Sus scrofa: one gene and its partner. The protein of the gene in region 1 purifies or fractionates together with the protein of each later gene. This does not show direct contact. Links are inferred from orthologs where the notes say so. Each region holds a gene or a part of one and is shown on either strand. Other genes may lie near its edges.

Region 1 (6,264 bases):
GGATCACTCGTGTCTGATCATCTGCCAGCGGGAAAGATGAGAAACATGGAGTTTGGGGGTGACAGGGACATCAAGGCCCTGATGGTCTCCTGGATGAAAGCCAGCAGGGGACAGATGGTATACCTAGCAGGGATGTCACCGAGGTGTACTCATGGGCTGCTAGGGAGAAATGCAGCCACAGCAGAGCTCTGGGAGGCAAGGTCTGGGAGCCCAGTGGTGACACAGGGAATCCGGGCTAATACCAGGACTGCCCATGGGGTGGGGACCTTAGGAGCTGCACCAACCCCTCGGGAAGGCCTCACCCCCATTCCCAGCCATGACTTACATGGCAGCACATCTTTGTAGCGGTTCTTCCTCACATTCTCTTGTCGACTACCAGCCTCGGTGGAGAGCACGCCGTCAGTCTTCCAGGCAGCTGAGTGGGCCCGGATGTCCTGAAGGGAAGACAGCAAGAGAAGACCCAGGAGAGGGAGGAGAGAGCAAAGAGCGGAGCCAGGTCAGAGTCCTAGGACACTGAGGATCTCACGGGGATACACAGCACGTGACCTACAAGAGGTGAATGCAGCATCATAAAAATTCAATAATTGTAGCGACTCAAGAGTGCCTCCTCTTTGCCAGACTCTGTAAGGGCATTGAGGGGACATGTGTAAGGGACATCTGCAAGATCCCTCTGAAGTAGGTACTGTTATTGAGGTATCCACTGTGCAGGTGAGAAAGTTGAGTCACCACATGTTTGAGTGACTTGCTGAATGTCCCACCCAGGAGTGAGGTGAGTGTTGAACTCAGACCTCTGAGTATCTAACCCCTGTACACTCAAAATGTATTACTTTGTGTTGTGAACAATAATTGTAATATATTATGTAGTTAATATAAAAAACATGATGATACACAATATATAGGACAATATACAATGTACATGAATGACTTGTGAAACTAGACACTGTAGCTGTTTTACTACTGTTAGATCTTTATAATTAGTGAATTGTATTACCATCATCATCAGGTATTTATAATCATGATAATAAGGAACACCTACAAAGCCACCACTGGGTGCAAGCCCAGTGTACTTACACCCATCAGGTCATTTAAATCCCATGGACACACTAGTGCAGTGGGTACCACTACCGATATTTCTACTATCGGTAGAAATGAAAAAACCAAAGCCTAGGGAGACCCAAAGATTCCTGTGAGTGCAGGAGACTGCTGGCAGGAGGGTGGCCTCCAGCAACTGGCACTGTTCACCACCTAGCCTTCTGCACAGGGGTCTTCAGCACTGCTCACTGTCCCAGACTGGACCCAGACCCAGATGGGCATGATGACATGTACCACCTGGGTATTATGTGTTTATATTTACTATGTACATTTTCATACTGAATAAATTACATGTTTTGTTTATTACACATTTGTTATATACAACATCTATTTTTATATCTGTATATTTCTTTTATCTATTTGTCACATACTTAGGAATTTGAATAACTGCTTATTTTGTAAATTCCATGTTGTATTTGTTTATTCTATTGTTTTATGAACTTTTTGTTTGTTTGTTTGCCTTTTCTAGGGCTGCTCCAGCAGCATATGGAGATTCCCTGGCTAGGGATCTAATTGGCACTGTAGCTGCCTGCCTATGCCACAGCCACAGCAACACTGGATCTGAGCCGAGTCTGTGACCTACACCACAGCTCACAGCAACACCAGATCTTTAACCCACTGAGCAAGGCCAGGGATCGAACCTGCAACCTCATGGTTCCTGGTCGCATTCATTAACCCCTGCGCCACGATGGGGACTCCTTATGAACTTTAATGCTATGAAAATTATAATGTATGATCATATTTATACAGATTCACTATAGATGTTATATGTATTAATTTCATTAATTTGATTCTGTTAGCAATTTTTATTGTACTTAATGATTATCTAGTCATTTATTAATGCTTATACACATATATTTGTTAAACTTATTTTTAAATTTGAGATATGTCACCATATATTGTGTTTACATATTTGCACAGCACGTTTCTATGTTATATTTAAAACATCTTAGCACGTGTAGTATGTGATGCCCATGACGCTACTGCATCACCACTCCATGCGTATAGCTTGCATTACTCCATTGTCAAGTTTCGAATATTACCATTAGTGACAAAGTCGTCTGTGAAGTGAGCTCTCAGGATGTGCTTAGCGCTTTTTACCCACACTGGTTATTTTAATCCTCAGGTCAGTTTAGTCATCAACGTCCGCTACTCACCCAAGGAGAAACCGAGGCCAGAGGGGGTAGGTAAAACCCCCCGGGGCCACAGCGCCTATCTGAGCTGGTGACCACACCCTTGCCGCAGCGGGGCCTCTTGGTTCCTCTTCCCCTAGCCCCTTCTTCCCCAGGACCACAGGAGTGACCTCCGGGTCATCAGGAGCGGCCGGGTGTCGCGCGTCCAGCACAGGTGCACGCCCGCCCTCCCCCGCCCAGCCTGCCCAACAACGGGATGGTTCCGGGAGCGAAGCGAGGGCTCCAGGACCCGAGGGCGTGTGCGGCCCCGCCCAGCCCAGCAGTGGACTTCGCCCTCCGGGGCTCTGCGGACCAGACGGTGAAGACAGGGAGAGATTGCGACAGAGAGAGGTGCTGGGGAGAGAAAAAGACCTGGAGGCGAGGAGACGCCCCTGCACGCCAGAAACAGAGGCAAAGCGCAGCAGAGCGCACAGAAGAACAAACGTCCAGATCGTCCAGGGCAAGCCCGCGCCGCCGTCCACACTCGCCCACTCACGCTGAACTCGCCGGCGAGGACCGCCCCCTCCCGGCCGCCCCGCGCCTCCAGCTGCTCCAGGAAGCTCCGCACCGCGTCCAGGCTGTGGCTCATGGCGCCGCCGGCCAGCAAGGTCCCGTCCAGCTGCAGCGCTCCGCGCTCCTAGCTAGTGTAGACTCCGTGGGAGGATGCCGAGGCCCCGCCTCCAATCTCGCCAGCTAATGGAAGTGCGCAGCGACGGGCAGGACACGCCCCTAAGCCAAAGACCCTCAGAGCCTGTCCCCGCCCCCGCCCACAGGCTCCAGGACCCGCTGCTGGGCCAAAAACTTGTCCTGCCCCGGCGCTTCCGTTTTTTGTGGCCACCGCGCGGGCTTGGCTGAGTCCGCACGATCCCAGGGACACCTCCTTCCTCGGACCCGGGAGTCCGCGCCGGGGCATGCATGACAGCGAACCTTCACCCGGCCTGGTGTCCTGGGAGCTAGGTTTTGTCCAGATCCGAGAAGGGGTGGTGCGGCAGCTGTGGGTGGAGCTGGTCGCCTAGTTTGAGCTGCAACTTGTGCCTGGCGGACCCCGCGTGGGGACCGTCCCGCGTTGTGCACTCCGGCGGGGTCCGAGAGAGGTCGGGGGAGGTAGCCGCAGGGGAAAATGACACCCGGGCACCTGGGCTGTGGGGCTGAATCCTTGTATTTCTTAAGATTGCTTCTTTTTCTGAGTTGTGCAAAGAAGAGTTGAGGACGCCAAAATCCAGTCCAAATTTGAGGATCTCAACTCACATAAACCTTATTGGAAAATGAGTACCGAGGCCTGGAAGTGGGTTCAGGGGACTAGGTGTTCTCCACGCTTTTAAAAGAGTTGTTTGTGTCTTTTGTTGGTTTGTTTTTGCTTTTTTAATGGCCGCACCTGCGGTATATAGAAGTTCCCAGGCCAGGGGTGGAATGGAAGCTGTGGCTGCCGACCTAGGCCAAGCCACAGCAACGAGATCCAGATCCCAGCTGCGTCTGCGACCTATATACCACAGCTCTCTGCAATGCCAGATCCTTAACCCACTGAGGCCAGGGATCAAACATGCATCCTAGTGGATACTAGACCGTTTGCAAGCCGCTGAGCCACAACAGGAACAGTTTCAGCAGCTTTATTTGCACTACACTCTGGTCTTTAAAAATGTGAAAGCTAGTATACAGCCCCTAAGAGAGGCTGGAGAGGGCAGAGAGGAGCCTGCCCCCTTCCCAAGGACCCGCCAGTGTAGATGGGCTCATCCACCCCTCACCTCAAGGGTAAGGGGTGTGGATAAAGTTCATTAGCGTGCTGTTTAAGTCAGGGACAGGCAAACTGTTTCTTAAAGGGCTTGGGTTCTTTAAGAAACCTTGTCCTTGTCCCAGCTACTCAACTCTGCCATGCCTTGTGAAATATGTAAAGGCATATGTAAAGGAATGAGTGTGATTGTATTGCAAACTTCGTGGGCACTGAAATTTTGTCACAAAAGTTTTGGTGGTCTGCAGGCTGTGGTTTTCTGATCCCAGTTTAAGTGACTGAGGTGAAAGCAGGTCAGTGTTTCTCTCATTGAGCGATTAGTAGAAATCACTGTTGACTGTTTATCACCATCACCTGTGAGAGTTCAAAGGGGGTCAGTAGTGATCACCAAGGATGGACATTGATAGTGAACTCATTGAAGGTATTCACACAGACTATCCATAGATGTCAGCAGCGGTCACTGGGAGGTCAGAGTCTGAAAGTAACCACTGGGACTTGGAATGTTAAAGTAATTGAGGTGTCAAAAGAGTCAGGGAAGGTCATCGAGGACTCCTATTCAGGGCTGATAGTGAATGTCAGTGGGATCAGAGATTTCTTGGATGGCTGCTGGAGACACAGGGTTGCAAGACATGGAAATACCAGCAGACTTTGAGGCTCACTGGAGAAGCCAGAGACCCAAATCTTTGAGTCCTCATGGACACTAATGGCAGTCACTTGGGGGTAGTGGATACCAGAGTAAAGGGGTGGGGGAGAGCCACCGTGGGAGCACAAAAGGCCTTTATGGACCCTGCTCATGGTGGATGTCATTGGATGGCAATGGTCACTGGAAACCGGTGATATCTGGGGATCAGAGGCAACACTGAGTCAGTGAGCCACCATATCATCTATGGTGGTGACAGGGAGGCAGGGTGGTTGACCCAGCAAAAGGGTTCTGGCCAGCTGGGTATCTTGTGTTCCACTTCCAGCTAAGGGTCTGCCCAACAGGATGGGATATATTATGACTACTCTCTCCCTGGCTTGGGGGGGCATCTGTCTGTCCAGAGGGCTTGACTTTCTTGTAGGCTGGGTCTGTCTTCCTGGCAGAGCTTAAGTCTGTCAAGCTGAAGGTCTGGCTAGCTAGTTGACTGCATAGTGGGGTGTCTCTCCACTGAGTAACATCTTTGTCCAGTGGCAGGGCCCTCTGTTTGTTCTTGAGTGATTGTCTGTTGGCTGGCTGGAAGTGGGGTGGGAGGGACACAGGTCTTTCTGGATGCCTGTCCAAGAATCTGCCTGGCTGTCCTGCTGTGGTCTGTTTGTCTCGCCCTAGGACTCTACCTGGAAATCTGTCTTACCAGGTGGCTATGTGTCTGTCTGCAAGCCTTTTGGGGGATCCTTCTGCCTAAGTGGCCTGTGAATAGAAGTGGCTAAGACTTTCAATCCACCTGCTGTGCTTCCAGCATTGGGTATCTATCTTTCTGGCTGCATGTCTACCTCTCCATTCTATACCCTCCTGTTCAACCAGCCTGCCTTTTTTTTTTTTTTTTGATGATTTTTAATTTTTACATTATAGCTGGTTTAGCGTTCTGTCAATTCCAGACTGCCCTTCTGACACTGGCCCTCCCATGTCTCTCCAACATCCAAACTCTCCTGACTTGCCCTCTGATCAGCGCAGCTGGATATGGGGGATGGGAAGACTCCCCAAGACCTCCTCCAGTAGCCCTGGCTGCCCCTTTCTGTTCCCCCACAGAACTGCAAGCTGCCTTTTTACAATGGGACTGACTGCTCCTTCTGTGTACCCTACTGGCAGCAGTCCTGAGTTGCAAGACCAGCTGGCACTGCCCTACAGGACCTGAGCACTCCAGAGGCCACATGCCATCTGCCAGTTTGCCACCTGCTTGCCAGCTCAGAGTGCTAGATGAACTGGCCACCCAATACAGCCAAATGGATGGGGTGCTGGAAGGTGCTCAGGGGAGATTTCACAGTGCTGTGAAGAACCCAGCCTGCACCAATGCCACAAAGGGGAAATTGTAACTAACAGTGGAGAAACTTGGCAGACACCACCTTCACCTAGAAAGTTTGTGACATCCCTATTGAACAGTTCTTCTCTGGCTTCCCTTTTTGCTAGGCCACAAAAGAAAAGGAGAAATTTGAAAAAATTCTCTCATTGCTCCACTCTGTTAAGAACCTTTGGGTTGGGTGGGCTGACCTGTTGGTCCATCCACAAATCTGGCATTTGGCAAACAGGAAAATGCCACTAGATATCTGAAATAATATATTTGGAATATATAACATGAA
Region 2 (6,325 bases), on another chromosome or scaffold:
TTTAAATAATCTTTCCATGGGGCATTTGAAGAAAATTATTTATGAGCATGTGCTGACTCATACCTTTTCAGGAACTTGTACCTATTTGACCATGGGCTACTCCTCTCCCATGGGACATTCCTCTCCTGGCCTGCAATGGCCTCTGTGAGGGTTGAATCCCTAACATCTCTGACTCTCTTCATCTGACCCCTCTCTTCCAATGCTGAAACACAGGTATTCACAAAGACTGCCTCTCTGGGGACCTCTTATCTCTTGATTCTTTCAACTTGAATTGTCACCTCTGTGCTGAAAATAGTTGACAATCACAAGTGCTCACTATGTGCTCAGCACATACCAAATTCTGATTTAATCCTCACAACCGTCCTATAGTGCAGACATTGTTATTATCCTCATTGTTCTACACAGAAAAACGGAGAATGGGAGTTGAAGTAATTTGCCCAAGGTCACCCAGCTATAATGGGCAGATCTGGATTCACACTTGACCAGGCACCACAGAGCTTCTGCTGCTAACTCTTCCGTTGTACTTTATGCTGTCCTATGCACTCTCTTGCCTGGACACCCTTTCCAAGCTGCCAGGGCCATATCTACCAGCTCTCCAAACCTATAATATTGACAACTGAGCACCTGCAACTGATTGTTAAAATATTAGAATGTTCCCAAACTCTGCTGTCTGGCACCCTGTTCCCTCCCTATATCCAGCAACCCTGGCAACGGGCTGGGAGGCTGGTTCAGGGTGCTGCTGGCCTTGGTCCTCACAGTGCTACCCCTGTGGTTAAATATTGTCAATATCACTTTTGCCTCCTCCTCCTCTCCCCACAAACCAGTTCCTCATTTCAACTTCCTTATTTCTGGGGCCCACTCCGCATTCTCCTATTCACCTCACACAGAGCCTCCTCTAAGCCCTGCTTTCCCCTCCCAACTACCCAACAATTGATGACCTTGTCCTATGGCTTTGACTTCTTCTACCCTCTGCCATTCCCCCATCTGTCTCCTCCTGTCCCTTTCCTATGCTTTCCACCCAGGAACAGACCTTGTCTACCCCTGGCCCAGTTTTCTTAGGCCCTGCTGGACTCTCCCATCCCCCTACCCTTTCCTCCTCTACATCCCTGAGGACTGGCATTCAAGGCCAAATCCTGCCCTCCCTGCTGGCTTCCTCATGAGGACTCTACCATCAAACCAAGGGCTGGTCTTACCTCCTACAAATGCCACCTCCACCAGAGCTCATACATAGAAGGTATTTTAAATATTTATTAAATTCAATCAACTGATATCTACTTGTGTTTCCAAAGTTTTCTACCTTATACAATCACAACCTTCTTGTCCTTGAAGCATGAAAATGATTGCCATCCCCTCGATGCTAATAACAGCCCTGCCCGCACCCCCGAGCCCTAAGAGTGTGAGGGTGCCGAAGGTAGGCCCTGAGGCCTTCACCAGTTTCCCTTCTGCTCCTTTTCTCCCCAAATCCAGGCTGACTTTTCCATCTGCCTGATTCCTAAGCATCCATATGCAAAGAACCATTGCAGTGCTGGGGGCTCAGTGGATGGTGGTACCCAGCACAAACCCCAGAGGAGCTCATGGTCAGAGCTGAAAAAAGAAAGATATCCACATCAAGAGTCAAATGATGCCCCCTCATCTACCTCCGGAGGTGTCAAAAGGACATTCACTGAGCACCAGCCTCATCAAAGGCACTCACTGAGCATTTGGTGGATACAGAGTCCTATTTAATAGCTCTACAAACTTGGGAATGTTGCTTAACCCTTCTGCCACTTGGTTTCCTCATCTCTAAAACAGGATAGTCAGTAAGCAGTGGTAGGTGTGAGATGTAAGTCAGATAACAGTTGTGAGAAATAAATGAGTGGTATGTACAAAGTATTTGGAACAGTGTTTGCTACAGACTTATACATAGTAATTTAGCTATTATTGTTTTTTATTATTTGACATAAAGTATTACAGGAAATTAGAGATGGAAGATACCTTTGCAAACTATCTCTTAGGGTCTAATATATTCAGAAATTAAAAGCCAAGAGGGGGGAAAAAAGTATAAACCCAGAAAGGTCTCTCCCCTGGACCTTCACCCAATTTCTAACTCCCAACCTAGGACTCATGTCTCCCTTGGAAAAGACTTGGGGGGTGGGGGCTGCCTGGGAGCCCTCTGAGAGTGGAGGCTGCTGCTGCTCTCATCCCATTACACGCCCTGTCACCCATACAAATCCACTGTAACCATCTGCTGAGAACCACTGTGCATCAGCCCGAGCAAGGGGCAGGGGCACTGAAAGCCAGCACAATACCTGTCCATGAGGTGCTCACATGCTTGTAGGCCCCCAATCTCAAAACCAGAAACTGACAAATGCTATGAAAGAACAGAACATGTGCTTATGGGGGCACCATCACGAAAGGCTTCTCTAAAGAAGGCAGAGGCCTGAAAACTGTGTGTCACATTTTGAGGTGAAAAAGGTAGGTCTTTCTGCCCTGCTTCCCCCCCCACCACCACCACCACCCTGTTACCTAGTCAGGGGACCCCAAAGTCCTATATTCTACACAAATAACTCCCAAGCCTTCTGGAGGGGCCAGCTGCCAGGCTGTTTACCATTTTTGTTTGGTTGGTTGGTTTTTGGGGTGTTTGTTGTTTTGGGTTTTTTTTGTTTTGTTTTGTTTTGTTTGTCTTTTGTCTTTTGTCCTTTTACGGCCGCACCCAGGGCATATGGAGGTTTCAAGGCTAGGGGTCTAATTGGAGCTACAGCTGCCAGCCTACACCACAGCCACAGCAACAACAGATCCGAGCCGTGCATGTGACCTACACCACGGCTCATGGCAACGCTGGATTCTGAACCCACTGATCCAGGCCAGGGATTAAACCCGCAACCTCATGGTTTAGGATTCACTTCCACTGCACCACGACGGGAACTCCATGTTTATCATCTTTGTGAAGCTTCCACCGCTCTGTACCCTACAGGTGGCCAGTGCCCCAGAAGAATCTCAAAAACTCCAGAAAAAGGGGCCTCATAAGGCAAGGTCTAAACTGTGTCCTGGAGGCTACAGGGCCAGGTTTCTCCACCCATAGAGGGCAGAGACCTGCTGGACAGCTATGAAGCTAAAAGGGGGCGAGCAGCGTCCCAAGAAAGAGATGGGGCCCTGTGGCAGCAGTAAGTCAATCTTGAGACATCCTGCTTCTGCCTTAAAGGGATGAGGGTGGTTTCTCCGAATGAGGGGTTACCAACTCTTTCGGGAGTGAGAAGACAGGAGGGAAGAGGCTGGACAGAGGGAGAGGGCAGGCGGACCTGCTGCCTCCTGGCTGGGCTCCATCCTCCGGCTCGGATACCCTGACCAGCTCGCAGGGTTTCACACACGCACCCGCGGGGGCAAAGGCCGGGAGGCGCTCAGGAAACCCGGCTTCAGGACCCGGCAAAGCTTCTGCTAGAGAATCTCTCTATGGTCTGCAGGGGGAAGTCAGGCGCTACCGAGGCCCGGACAGGCTGTGGACCTGGAAAAGTCGACCAGACCCGCGAAGCCCACCCCAGGTTCTCCACCCCACGTGCCCCCAATCCGCTCACGGCGCAGCCTCGGGGGCCACCAGCGACTCTCCCCTGGAGGGTGGCTTCTCCTTTTGGGTCTCGGTTTCCCCAAGAGTGATATGCGGGAGGAATGTCCCGACTCTAAGGTGGCTTCGGCTACACCCAGCCAGCGTGTCCAGGAGCGCGGGCGGCCCAAAGAGGAGCCTGGGGACCCGCGGGCGTGCAGGGGCTGGGGACAGGGCAAAGGGGACGCAGAGGCGCGTCCGCTCAGGTTCTGCCCGCGAGCACCTGACAGGGGGCCAAGGTTCCCCTCAGAGTCCTGGCTCCCGAGCCCGACGTTGGACCACCGGCCCCGCGGACTTACCCAAAAATTCCCCTTGAACAGTGAGCCCGTCATGGCCGGCGCGCGGGGAGCAGGGCAAGTACAGCCGGAGCAGGCGCGCGGGGACCGGACTGTCACAGGCAGTGGACGCCGCTGCCAGACCAGGGATCTAGGCCACGCCCCCGCCGCCGCTTGCCCCGCCCCGCACCCAGCGCCCCGCACCCAGCGCCCCGCACCCAGCGCCCCGCACCCAGCGCCCCGCACCCAGCGCCCCGCACCCAGCGCCCCGCACCCAGCGCCCCGCACCCAGCGCTGCGCGGAGCGGAATGGAGTCGCGGCCCGCAGATTGGAGCTCCGCAGTCAGGCATCAGTTAGTTAGTCCTACATCCCTCTCCTTCGCGAGGCCTTTGAGGATCGGTCCTGTCGCCTCCCCGAATTAGGCCCCATTCCTGCCCACAGCCCCCTTTTCCCTCGACCCAGCTCCTCGCGGAGAAACCCAGGCTCAGCGTGGTGGTTGAAGGAGTCCCTTCCGGATCACAGGTGATCTCGGGGTCCCCACGTCGGATCTGTGAAGCTTGAGCCCTGACAATGCCAGCGGCCGCGTCAAGTGTGCACGCACGCTTCAGCAAGTTAAGTGCAGGATCCCTGAGGGGCCACAGATAAGCCCCTGGGCACATTTTAGTCTAAAAGACATGGAAAAGTCATTGATACCGTTTCCCCTTGACTCCAGGTCCCTCAGTGAGATCCTTACAAGGTGTCTGGGAACTCAGCTCCTTCCCGATCTTTCCCCATTCTCAGGATCCAGACCTAAGACTATTCTCCACCAATCCCACTCCAACAGTAAGAGCCCGAACTTTCCTCTTCCTCCACGCTGCCTCATAAACACCCTCATAAACATAATCCAAGGCAAGTCATCCCTGCATTGTAGTAATATGGCACTCTGGGACAAGTATGGCTCTGTGCTATACTTTCTGATTCAAAACTGAGGCACAAAAAGGCTGATTGCCTTGCCCAAGATCACAGCATATTTAAAAGATGAACAGCTCTGCCCTTCTAAACAGGACAGGAGCCAAAGAGGTCACTCCTGGGACAGATCCACTTAAGGAGAGAAGGATGAAAGTCAAGAATGCCAAGGAGTCCCTGCTGTTGCTCAGTAGTAATGAACCCAACTAGTAACCATGAGGACATGGGTTCCATCCCTGATCTTGCTCAGCGGGTTAAGGATCTAGAGTTGTCAAGAGCTGTGGAGTAGGTCACAGACACTACTGGGATCTGGCATTGCTATGGCTGTAGTGTAGGCCAGCAGCTATAGCTCAGATTCGACCCCTAACCTGGGAACTTCTGTATGTCACAGGTGCGGCCCTAAAAAGACCAAAAAAAAAAGGTGCAAAAATTGAGTGCTCAAGCCCAGCCCACAACCTCAGGCCTGCAGAGGCAAGTTTTGCTTCCCAGGTTCTAGCTTTCTTCAGACACAGTGAAAAGACAATTGCCAGGGTAGTCTGAAGGACAGCTGTAAGGTTCTGCCTGGTAATACCACCCCTAATCCCCACTCCCTCACCCTCACCCCAAGCCCCACCCTGTTTGTAGTAAAATCCCACAGTAGAGTCATCCTCAACAACAAAGATGAGAAGTAGCCTCCAGCTTTGCCTGGGTCACTCAAAGGACATACATCCATTCATCTGGTTGTTCATCTCCTTGCAAAGCAGTCCAGTTAGAAGAAAGAAAGGGAAGCCTGGCAGCACCATCAGAAGCAACAGAGGCCACAGTGGGCACAAGAAGACAAGCTAAACAGCAGGAGTAAGAAATAATGCCAACTGGGGAAGTGCCACAGACAGCATCAAGATTTTTCCTGGAAGTTTTGAATATCTTGGAAAAAATATTTTAAGTACAATTCTAATTGCTAAGTTTTCATTTTTAACATTTTAAAAAATCTCTCATGGGAGTTCCCGTAGTGGCTCAGTGGCTAATGAATCCGACTAGGAACCATGAGGTTGCAGGTTCAATCCCTGGCCTCATTCAGTGGGTTAAAGATCCAGCGTTGCCTTGAGCTGTGGTATAGGTCACAGACACAGCTTGGACTCTGGTGAAGGTCGGCGGCTATAGCTCCGATTAGACCCCTAGCCTGGGAACCTCCATATGCCGTGGGTATGGCCCTAGAAAAGGCAAAAAGACAAAAAAATAAAAACCTTTCATGGTACATAGTGCTTGATTTGCCTGCCTCAGACCTCAAAGATCCCTGAATTTTAACTCTCTTCTACCACCTGGTGGTAATATTGTAAATTGCAAGTGTTTGTCCACGCTTCCAGAAAATATTCCTTATTCATTCCTCATTTACTAAGCTCATCACCTGGACAGGTGTTGTTAGTAAAAAGACAAGTAATATGTGGAACACACCCTCACACCATGCACAAAAATAAACTCAAAACAGTTTAAAGAGAAACATAAGACAAGACACCATAAAACTAGAAGAGAACATATGCAAAACACTCTG

The links.
Region 2: the proteins of PTPN18 (region 1) and PSTPIP2 purify together in Homo sapiens (affinity purification with mass spectrometry; 4 studies listed by BioGRID and IntAct, with this or other methods). This does not show direct contact. The link is inferred for Sus scrofa from reciprocal best matches to the Homo sapiens genes PTPN18 and PSTPIP2.

What each region holds. Positions count from the first base shown.
Region 1 is NC_010457.5:31,962,814-31,969,077, forward strand, and holds the start of PTPN18 (tyrosine-protein phosphatase non-receptor type 18), read right to left. Parts: upstream 3,759-6,264; 5' UTR 2,854-3,758; coding exon 2,761-2,853; intron 435-2,760; coding exon 326-434; intron 22-325; coding exon 1-21. UniProt on the Homo sapiens protein: Differentially dephosphorylate autophosphorylated tyrosine kinases which are known to be overexpressed in tumor tissues.
Region 2 is NC_010443.5:95,723,813-95,730,137, forward strand, and holds the start of PSTPIP2 (proline-serine-threonine phosphatase-interacting protein 2), read right to left. Parts: upstream 4,016-6,325; 5' UTR 3,910-4,015; coding exon 3,877-3,909; intron 1-3,876. UniProt on the Homo sapiens protein: Binds to F-actin. May be involved in regulation of the actin cytoskeleton.